Regions from separate parts of the Mus musculus genome. Here region 2 is reported to be linked to region 1. Evidence: microRNA targets listed by miRTarBase, many of them from high-throughput screens and not tested one by one. Region 1 holds a microRNA gene; the other region holds the end of a gene's coding sequence.

Region 1 (5,076 bases):
ACTTCTTTTTCTTCTTTCTTGTGAATGAATTGTATGCATGTCTGGGTACCTCCTCTACCTCCTCTTTAATCCTTAACACCTTGAGCTTTGCCAGTGCACAGTACCTGGGCAAGGACTCACAGAGAGCAAGCATCGTCTGCACAAAGAAAGCATGTATTTATCACCTCTCCTAGTGCAGAGGGTTTTGAGCATTTCTTGAATTTGCATGTCCAAAAGTAGGCAAAGCATGAGGGGTTATGAATGTACTATGTGCTAAGGTTTGTATCTAAGAATAAATTTCTTATTCTCATAAAGCTTCCTCCTTTCATATGTTCAAGGGTTTATAAAAAGTAAATTTTGTCATAATTTCCCTATGTAATCCTTATGATCCAGCTTTTTGGTCTGCTCCTTCCCTGTGATACCTGCTGCTAGTGTTTTCTACATGCAGCTGGGATTCAGAAAGAATTTAAAGATGGAAGGCTCTCTTGTTTGCCTGTGTGTATTTATAGCTAAGTATTTCTTAACAATGGGGATTTCTGAGAAATATGGTTGTTAAGTTATTTTTGTCGTTGTATGAATATTATGGAGTTGCCTAGTTACTGTTCTATTGCTGAGAAGAGACACCATAACCAAGGCAACTTATAAAGGAAACAATTTAATTGGGGGCTTATTAAAATTTCAGTGTGAGTCTATGACCATCATGGTAGGGAACATGGCAGCAAGCAGGCAGGCATGATGCTGGGGCAAGAGCTGGGAGCTCATATCTTATTGCAAGTTAGAGGCAGAGGCAGGGGAGATATTGATGGAGAGAGAGAGAGAGAGAGAGAGAGAGAGAGAGAGAGAGAGAGAGAGAGAGAGAGAGAAGAGAGAAAGAGAACATGAACACAAACAAGCTTGGGCCTGGCTTGGGGTTTTTGAAAGCTTAATGTCTACCTCTAGTGAGCTGACTCCTCGAACAAGGCCACACCACACCTTCTAATCCTTCCCAAAACAGCTTTACCTACTAGGGACCAAGCACTCCAGTATATGAACCTGTGAGGGCAATTTTTATTAAACCACCATGGGAGTGTATAGTTAAACTAATAAGGATTACTAGGTGATGAAATGTTATGTGACTACTATTGTATATGTAGTTTGTGGCTTACCAAACACCATGTAGTATGTGACTATAGTTCTGATTGTATGATAGTGTGCTGATATGTGGAGCCAGTGGTAAGTTGGGCAGTCCAGTCTTTGTAGCATGTGCATACAGGAGGATGAAAATCATTCTCACTGTGTACGATCACATATACATGCCTGAGAAGCTGCAGGATGCACTTCCTTACTTTAGCCTCCACTTTCTAAGTGTCAAACCTGATTCATCACGTTCTCAGCACACATAGGCAACCTTCAAATGCAGAGGCCCACTGACAGCTTAGCAGGAACAGAGTCCTGCTCCCCTAACCTTGTTCTCTTACACCTCTAAGGAAGGGTAGTGGGCTCTCTTGGTTTTCATCTTTGACGGAGCTGTTATAGGAAGGTATACTTGTTTGTTAACACTGACATTTTTGTAAACACATACCTAGACAGTCATAGATATGCTTTTGCATCAGCTGGGTAGATAGGAGAACAAATATGAATGAAGCCCATCTATAGCTAGGTGTACATCATATATAGGCCCGTGAGCATAGAAGGTTTCTTTTGTTTGATACACTTGTTTTCTCATAGAGAAAAATGCCTTACTGTCATTCATTTATATTCGCTCTCCCCCCTTCTCTACTTCTCCCCTCTCTCCTTACTCCTGACTCTCTTCACTCTCTGTGACATATAGTAGGAAAGTGAAAGATTGAAACTTGTGATTTTGTCTTTCATATCCCTCACAGAAAGGGGTGTGAACTTCGTTGATTTAGGCACATTGAAGAAGAATTACCAGAGAGCCAGTCCTTGCATTGCCTTTTACAGATTCTCCGAGTCACTGATATTCATGCCTCCTTCACCTGGCTTTTGCATATATGAGTATGACCATACTATTGTAAACAGGACATTCATTTAGACACATGTGTACAAAAATGGTAGTGTAAGAGGTAAAAATAATAGCCAGGGGCCAGGTCCTGCATCCTACTCTAGGCTTGCATCTTACCTAATTTTTTTGGTACTCTTTAAAGAGATAGCATTTGTTATTCTCATTTTTTAGAAGTAGTCCATGACCTTGGAGAAAGCAGGTAGATTCTTTAATCCAGTACATGGTGAAGTATAGGTTTGAAACAGGGTTTGTAGATACCAAACTCCACAGTTTCTCTGTCTTATCCATGATGCTGGTAAGGTCCCCAGCATCACCCAGCCCCTTTTAGAAATACAAAATCTTGAGCTCACTAATGAGAAACCTCTGTAAGTTATCTTAGTACCAAGTCCTCCAGGTATCTGAAGTAACTTTAACAAGATGCTGATGTGTGTTAAAGGATGCCAATCTCTACTGCCATCTTGTGAGCTTATGGCCTCTTCTCTCTGTCTCTCTGTCTTTTTTTCTTTCAGTATTTTGTATCTCTGGCTTTATATTTTTATAATCTCAGAACAAAATATGAATGTATATATTTAGACAGGTTTCTCTGTCTCTGTCTGTCTGTCTGTCTGTCTGTCTCTCTGTCTCTGTCTCTCTTTGTCTCTGTGTCTGTCTGTCACTCTGTCTCTCTCTCTCTCTCTCTCTCTCTCTCTCTTTCTGTGTATGTGTGTGGAGGGTGCAGAGGTCAACCTGAGGTGCTTCCCCTTTGGGGACATCTACCCTGTTTTTTGAAACAGTCTCTAATAGGGACTTGGCACTCACCAGTTAGGCCAAGGGATCTAGCTTTCTTTGAGTCCTCACGCTTGGCTCTTTTATGTGGAGGCTGGGAGTTGAACTCAGGTGCCTAGACATACTTAATGTGAAGCTCAAGAACATTGTCTTCTTTCTCATCACAGATAAGCACCTTGTGTCAAAGGTGAGCCCATGCGTTCATTTGCTGTGAGCCTTTTGCCCTGCTTCAGTTCTCTGATCCTTGCTACCTGGGTGAGAGTGTTCTTCAGCAAGGATTCTGAGAGCCAGACCTTTGTGTTTGTAAAGGACAGAGCGCATCTCTCGTTCTCTTTTAGTGTGTTGCACACAAGCATATTGACCACACACAGGAAGGGCAGGTTCCTGAGCCTTCTTGCTTGCTCCCCCTCTCGAATCCTTGGAACCTAGGTGTGAATGCTGCTTCAGTGCAACACACCTGTTCAAGGATTCAAAGAGGCTGAGCCTTGTCTGCGTGTAGAATGGCCCATACTTGCACATCTCACCTGCCACCTTCCCTCCTCCTGGCCACCATTTGATTTTGGTTTTAGCTGTCAGACTTGGTTCTACACATTTTCTAACAGCAAAATGGTCTTTATCATGTTTGGTAGACATGCTTCTATTCTCAGCATGAGCTTTCTTGATTCCCAGTTTGCTAAGTGTCAGATCATGTGATGAGGAGCACACATTAGGTGCTGCTACTCAGGCAACCCGTTTGTTACATCCAGTGATAACCCCTGTTCCACAAAGCTTGAATTGTATAAAGGCATTGGAAAGGAATGGAGTATCCTCCTCCACTGTGCCCTCTTTCAGTATGTATATGCATTCTCAGATCCCAGCCTTCTTGCTACCTTCCAAACATAAATCAGGCCCCCACAAATTCTCAAGTATGATCTGGGAGAGATACCATTTTGTATACGTAGAAGTTTTCTCTGAGAGAGGATGCTCATGGTGGGAAGGGGGCAGATACATATATAAATCAGGGATGTCAAGCTTGGGTATAGGTGGTGATGCTTGGCTGAATCAGGACAAGGAAAATTAAATATTATATACAGAACCACACAAACATGGTACAGGTGCCTGGGCCTTCTGCTCTGCTCATCCTCTCTAATCCTTTGTCCCTGGGTGAAAATGCTATTTGTATGCAATGCACCCGGGCAAGGATTTGGGGAAGGTGAGCCTGATCTGCATGGAGAAGGACAGGAGGTCTGTGCATCATATCTCATCTGTTTGCTGCTTGCATACTTCTTTTATGCCTCCCCCCACCTTCTTTCCTTCTACAAATACAACGGGCATGGTGCATGGGAGAGTAAATGTGACAAATTTGGCCTCTTCCCACCTAGATTTTATAGGTAGAACTTTATTTCCACTTATGACCCTAACAGGTATCAAGAACAAGTGGGGCACATAGTAAACTGTGTATTGACATAAGTGCGCAGCTTTTCATTCTAGTTCTCATACCGACACCTGGAAGAGAAATTCTTCTTTAGTTCAACTCTTGGAGGAATGCACAGGGCAAGAACAGTAAGCCTTCTTGTTGAACCCACATGCCAAGGGCATAGGTGCAGGCTGTGCCTTTCTAGTACTTGCTACTTGGATGAGTGTGCTTTGCGAATGCAATATACCTGGGCAAGGGTTCAGACATTGAGTTATCTTCATGTAGGACCTTTACGCCTCCTTCCACTGTTTCCTGTCTATTTATTCAGTATGGCAGGTACTCAACTAGGGATTTGGTCCACAGGAGTATGAACCACATGTGGTTCAGGGAGCAAATGGTCCAGGGAGAGTGAGCTGTGTCACATCCATTATGCCTGCATGAGTGGACTGTAGACTGGGACTTCATGTACACTGTCCACTTGGATTCTTCCATATTTTAACACAGTCCCATATAAATGCAGTGTATACAGAGGAGAGGATTCACAGACTTGTGCCCACAGAGAGGATTATCTGACCTGATTCATCAGGAACATTAATCCTCAGCACAAGTGCTGTTTTCAATAGTAAGTCCTGTCCAAGGAATCCAAAGGGTGGCACTTCGCCTGCACTTTAAAGGACAGAGCCCCTATATGTCCACACCCCTGTTCCTTTTCCTTCCTTTCACAAATATTCAGGTATGCACTATTTGATACAGCTCTGTTAGTCATAGAGGATGTAGCAGGAAACAAAATGAACAGAGGTGCTACTCTCTTAGGAGACTAATAAACACACTAAGATCCTTGACTATTATAGACTCACCAACTGCTGTTCAAAAGAATGACCTAGGTCTATTGTTCCTTGTTTTCTATTCTGTATGAATGACTCAGTGCAGGGTC
Region 2 (5,076 bases), not on the chromosome of region 1:
GGGTCAAAAATGTTGATGACCACATGCCTCAAATGGGGGCCATGTCTATCTACTTACTGCAGGTGGTCTCTTGAGTTTCTATCTCCCCTCTGTTGACCAGTTCAGCTAAGGCAGTCTTCATTGTGCCCCAGGAGCCTCACATCCCAGGTCTCTGGGACTTTTTAAAGTTTTCCCCTATCCTCCATCCCCACAACTGAATATTCCGGGGCAGGGCCCTTCCCCTTCATTGCACCATGGTTGTTTTGCATCTCTTTGCCCTCCCTGACTATCTTTCTTTTAACTCAGAGTTCAGTTTGCCTGTGTGCTGGGCTTAAAGGTGCACACCACCGCTGTCCAGTCAGTTTTCTTGTTTTCTAAATACTTCTAAAGAAAACTCAGGAGTTTACTGTGCAGAGGGGCTGGGCAGGGATGCTAAATGCCCTCTGCCAGTTGGTGATACCTTGTGGGGTAGGTTGCTTCTGCCCCGTTCCAGGTAGTGTTGAACAGACCAGAGCACACAGGCCAGTCTCCCAAAACGCTACTGGCTCCCAAAAGTCAGCAGTGTTGAAGCCGACAACCACCCCAGGCTTTACATAGGGTTTGTTTACAGAACTAAAAGGGAATTCATGGCTGAGGCCTGGCTAATGGTCAGCTTGCAGGGCCTCACTTTGTTTTCTCTCCGGTAAGTTAACTGAGAGAAAACAGCATTTATGACTCAGAGGGCTGTGGGAAGAGGGGAGAAAATGACTGTGGTTAGTGACACAAACAATCATAAATGGCTTTGCCTGTCTTGTTTCTTTTTCAGAGTCAGAGAGAGACTGGACTGACCAGTAATTATCATTAAACGGCTGTTTCATCCCGGTCTCAATCAGAGCTATTCATTCAGGTCATTCAGAGAGCCTTGGGCTGCAACCGCTTGAAGTCAGGGTCAGAGCCAGTGCGAATGGAAAAGGCCAGTCTTTTCACTCTGCATGTGTTAATGACCTGGGCTGAACATCAATGGCAAGTTTCCATGAAAAAGCCATCTGAGAATCTAACCTAGAAATAAATGGTTCTATATAGAGCCTTGTTTTTAATATTCGGCATTCAATGGGGGCTGCAGCTGTAAACAGCTCTCCATCCCCATTTCTCCACGAAGTTAATTTGCACTCTGCTGGCACTGCAGGCTTTTTGCCTATGTTCTGGACAAGCTGATATGTGCAGGCCTGGAATGAATAATGTTTAGTAAAATCAATAAACCCTATTATTAGTCACTAAGGGGACTGATTTTATGTCTATAAAAGTAAAACAATTAGAAGCATATTAATGACAGATTCATCATAGTAATATAATGGAGCCAAGTATGCTTGTCTTTGGGGAATCTTTAATTTACCATTCAGTACTGAATGTAGACTCAGCCAGTGAAATGGTATACACAATGTCAATGAGCTCTGGCCTTCGGCACTTCATGACCTGGGGATAGACAGCAATCATAACCGTAAGGGGGTGGGGGGGGGAGACAAAGAAAATTCCATTTTGTGATCACTGTAAACCAGTCACGAATAAGCGAAAGCCTAGGGAGGAGGAAGGCTACTCTCGTGGTCTTGTGGTTTTGGTCATGCATCTCTCCATCTTTATCAGCACGCCCATTCGCGGCAAAAGTAGAATTAAGTATGGGCTAATGTGCATATTTATAATCTGTCTAGTCAGCCACCTGAGCTGGATTGATGAGAAGCCTGACATGTGATACGTGTACATTCAGGATTTTACCACTGAAAGGGAAGCCTGGCCTCCTGTATATTATTTGTAAAATGTGCCTAATTGTAAGTTGGAAAGTCTTCAGGAACCCATAATATTGCTCAGCCCTCAACAGGAGCATGCTGCTTTAGTCTTGCCAAAGCAGAGGGAGCATTTCTCTACTGGGCCAGAATTCTGGGACGCGGTAGGCGAGCTAAACAAAGGTACCCACGTGAGAGCACTTCTTAGTGAGCTGGTAGACCTGTCTTTGGTGATTGGAGGGGAGCCATAGAGAGCCAGATTGGGATGAGATTGTGAAGCCGAGCAAGTTCCAGGGCTGGGGTGTGCAGCTCAGGGACAGAGCATCTGCCAGGCGGGGGGTGGCTTGGGCCCCAGCACCAGAAAAAACCTTAACCAATCCAAAGTGAATCCCCAGTGGAGGGATTCTGCACCAGCTTTCCCATTTCACTGTGGTGCTTTGACCCACCTCCACCCCTCAAATTCACATGAACTCCCTTCTCAGCAAGTTAGTGACATTGTCCCAGACTGAGTAGCCTTATAAACTCCCACAAATCCTCAACGTGTCCCCACTCATCTTATCAAACAACCTACTATGTGCATGGACTTCATTGTATGTTTGCACTGTCTACTGGGAGATACAAGCTCCATGAGAATGGGACTTTCTGTCTGTTTTGTTCATTGATATACATCCCAGCTTAGGATAGTGTGGGGGGCTCAATAGGCAGAAAGATGAGCCAAGAAAAGGTGAAATTGGACATGAAATATCTATATATGTCAGTGACAACTCACTGACTTTTTAATCCTTTTATTTTGGATTGTTTCCCCCCCCCCCCCAAGACAGGGTTTCTCTGTGTTACCTTGGGGCTGCTACATATAACTCAAATATGTAGACTAGGCTGGCCTTGAACTCACAGAGATATATCTGTCTCCACCTCCTGAGTGCTGGGATTAAAGGTGTTGCCACCACACCTTGCTTAGCTGAGTATTTTATATGTTCTGTCTACTGTCCATATGTCACAAGACTTAGATGTTTAGGCCAGGTATGGTGATAAATGGCTTTAACATGAACATTTGGGAAGGGACAGAGGCAGGAGGATCTCTATGAGATCCAGCACAGCTGGGATAATATAAAGAGAACAAGTTTTAAGAAATAAACCAACACACACACACACACACACACACACACACACACAAGATTACATGTTTAGCATACTGTTGGGGTGCTATGTGTCCATGTTTAGAGTAGTCATGTAGTTCTGCCCATATTTATAGAATTGAACCCGGCGTTTGGTTGTTATATCATTTTAGCATGTATGAAAAGTTAGTATCTGTGTATTGTTGAATTACGTGTCCATAGTGTGAAGAAATTCTCCTCTGAAAGTTAGACTCACTCCCAGCCAGCGAGAAGTAACATCAGACACACAAGAAACCATTATTAAAAAAAAAACAAAACAAAACCTTTTTAATTCTGATTGCCAAATTATTTAAGGCAGGTATAAAAAGGAAAGCATTCAATATACATTTTACATAAAATAAACTAGATTACAGCATAAAACAAGTAACCAGGCAATGGCGTTAAAATCCTTCTCTTCTAAAACTGGATAATTGTAAACATTAAAGAAAAAAAAAGGAAAAAAAAAAAGAAGACTGCAGGGCTATTCAAGTAAGAGAGAGATCGCAGATGTCTCTGGTATGCAGGCTATTGGGTTATCTGCCATTCAAGATTATCAAAAAAAAATGACACCTCATTATTCACAGATGCTCATTATTTCCCCATCTTAATTTTTACATTATATATACAACACAGTTTTTGTGGTTCTGGCAACCCCATGCCTTCCAAAAGTATTTATTTCCACAATAAACAAGTACAAAGAGTGACCACGGGGACATTTTTTACACTGATGCATCTTTAAGAGGAGCCACCAATTAGACATCTAAATTGTACCAAGTGTCATCATCACAGTTGGCCTTTCTGAGGGGTTTTATGGGAGAGAGATGAAGGATATGCAAGGTTCAGGCACACTGATACAGAACATTATTTATTTACAATTTAAAAGGAAAAGAATGTAAGCAGCCTGTTGTGGCTAACACTTTCAACATGACAAATACATTTTTTTTTCTTTTTTAATTTCCTTTACTGAGTGGTTTGCAACTTGGCAGCAGACCCTGTGTGTGCGAGCCTGGTTACTGTTACAAAAAAGTAAAGAATATATATATATATATGTATATATATATATGTATATATACAGATATGTATACGTATATATATACATATATATAAAACAGAAGTTTAATTACAGCAACATTTGTTACTCTGTGATAAAATCTGTAATTTACAAAATGAAATGACTGGTTTTTTGCCTGCCATTAAGGCATTTCAAATTAACACCATGGAACTGATGTCTATATAAAGCGCTTCCCCATGTGATCCAGTCACATGGCACCGGACACTTCCGATTCTGTTATTCTCTGCAAAAGAAGAGCACACCTTAGCAACCGGTTCTGTCAACAGTGGGCAGGAACTACATAAAAACAGTGAGCCTGAGAGTTCTGCTTCCTCCCTACGATTCCCGGGGAAATGAAGAATCACAAAGTGATAAGCTACATTTTTAGGGAGTGTTAATTTTATATTGATAATCTGATTTTTTTTTAATTTATTTTTCTTCTCAGAACAGCTTGCAGGGTAACTTAGAACACAAGAGAAACAAAGGCTCCCTTTAGCATTATGGTAACTCATTTCTCCATGTGCAATGTTAATTTTAAGTATAATAAAATGAAAAGCTTTGTATCCTGATATTTTATTTGATAGAACTGAGACTAGAACCTGGGACTGTAGGCATTCTGGTCAAATGCTAAAACACCGAACTACCCCATGAATATGTTAACAAAAGTGTAGGCTTGGCCTTATCTTAACCTAAGGACAATTACCCTTATCTTAGACTTAAAACAAAACAAAACAAAACAAAACAAAAATAAAACAAAAAAACCCCACATTTCTTTACAGATGTACATCACATTTATAGAATGAGGATCATGGAATCAAAGCCCCGTGTGAAACATCTTGTCATAGCATGTTCAATCATTACAGTAAAATGAAACTCAGGTGCCAAGTTTCTCATCTGCAAAGCCTATATTCTCTTCCGTGAATACCATTAGCCCATCTCTGCCAGAAAACTAATTCCAGGTGTCAGGAATATTTACCTTCTCTGTGCAGGAAACATTCCAGAAGCAGATGCCTGGGCAGCCACCTGCTGAGAGGCAACTAGGGCAGCAGAGGTCAAGCCTAGTGGGAGGAAAACACAGGGTTTCCATGACATTGGAAAAGAGTGGACACAGGCCCAGTGGTCAAGGGCACAGAAC

What was found. The annotated mature microRNA mmu-miR-362-5p reads AAUCCUUGGAACCUAGGUGUGAAU and lies in region 1 at 3,160-3,183, shown strand. An mRNA with a match to its seed (bases 2 to 7 or 8) in the 3' UTR can be bound and repressed. Matches are read on the target gene's strand: a 7mer-m8 pairs with bases 2 to 8, a 7mer-A1 pairs with bases 2 to 7 and ends in A, and an 8mer does both.
Region 2: miRTarBase lists Zfp608 as a target of mmu-miR-362-5p. The part of its 3' UTR that is shown has no 7-base or 8-base seed match.

Annotation. Positions count from the first base shown.
Region 1 is chrX:7,240,126-7,245,201 of GRCm38, reverse strand. Mir362 (microRNA 362) reads left to right here and starts at 3,156; the gene lies at 3,156-3,220. All of the region lies in intron 2 of Clcn5 (chloride channel, voltage-sensitive 5), which reads left to right. It overlaps Mir501 (microRNA 501), which reads left to right and starts at 3,851; the gene lies at 3,851-3,959.
Region 2 is chr18:54,884,897-54,889,972 of GRCm38, forward strand. Zfp608 (zinc finger protein 608) reads right to left here. Exons shown (of 10, transcript NM_175751.4): 9 at 4,918-4,999; 10 at 3,149-4,185. The coding sequence ends at 4,179. Among named protein-coding and RNA genes, the nearest start is that of Gm33732, 47 kb to the left of the region's middle.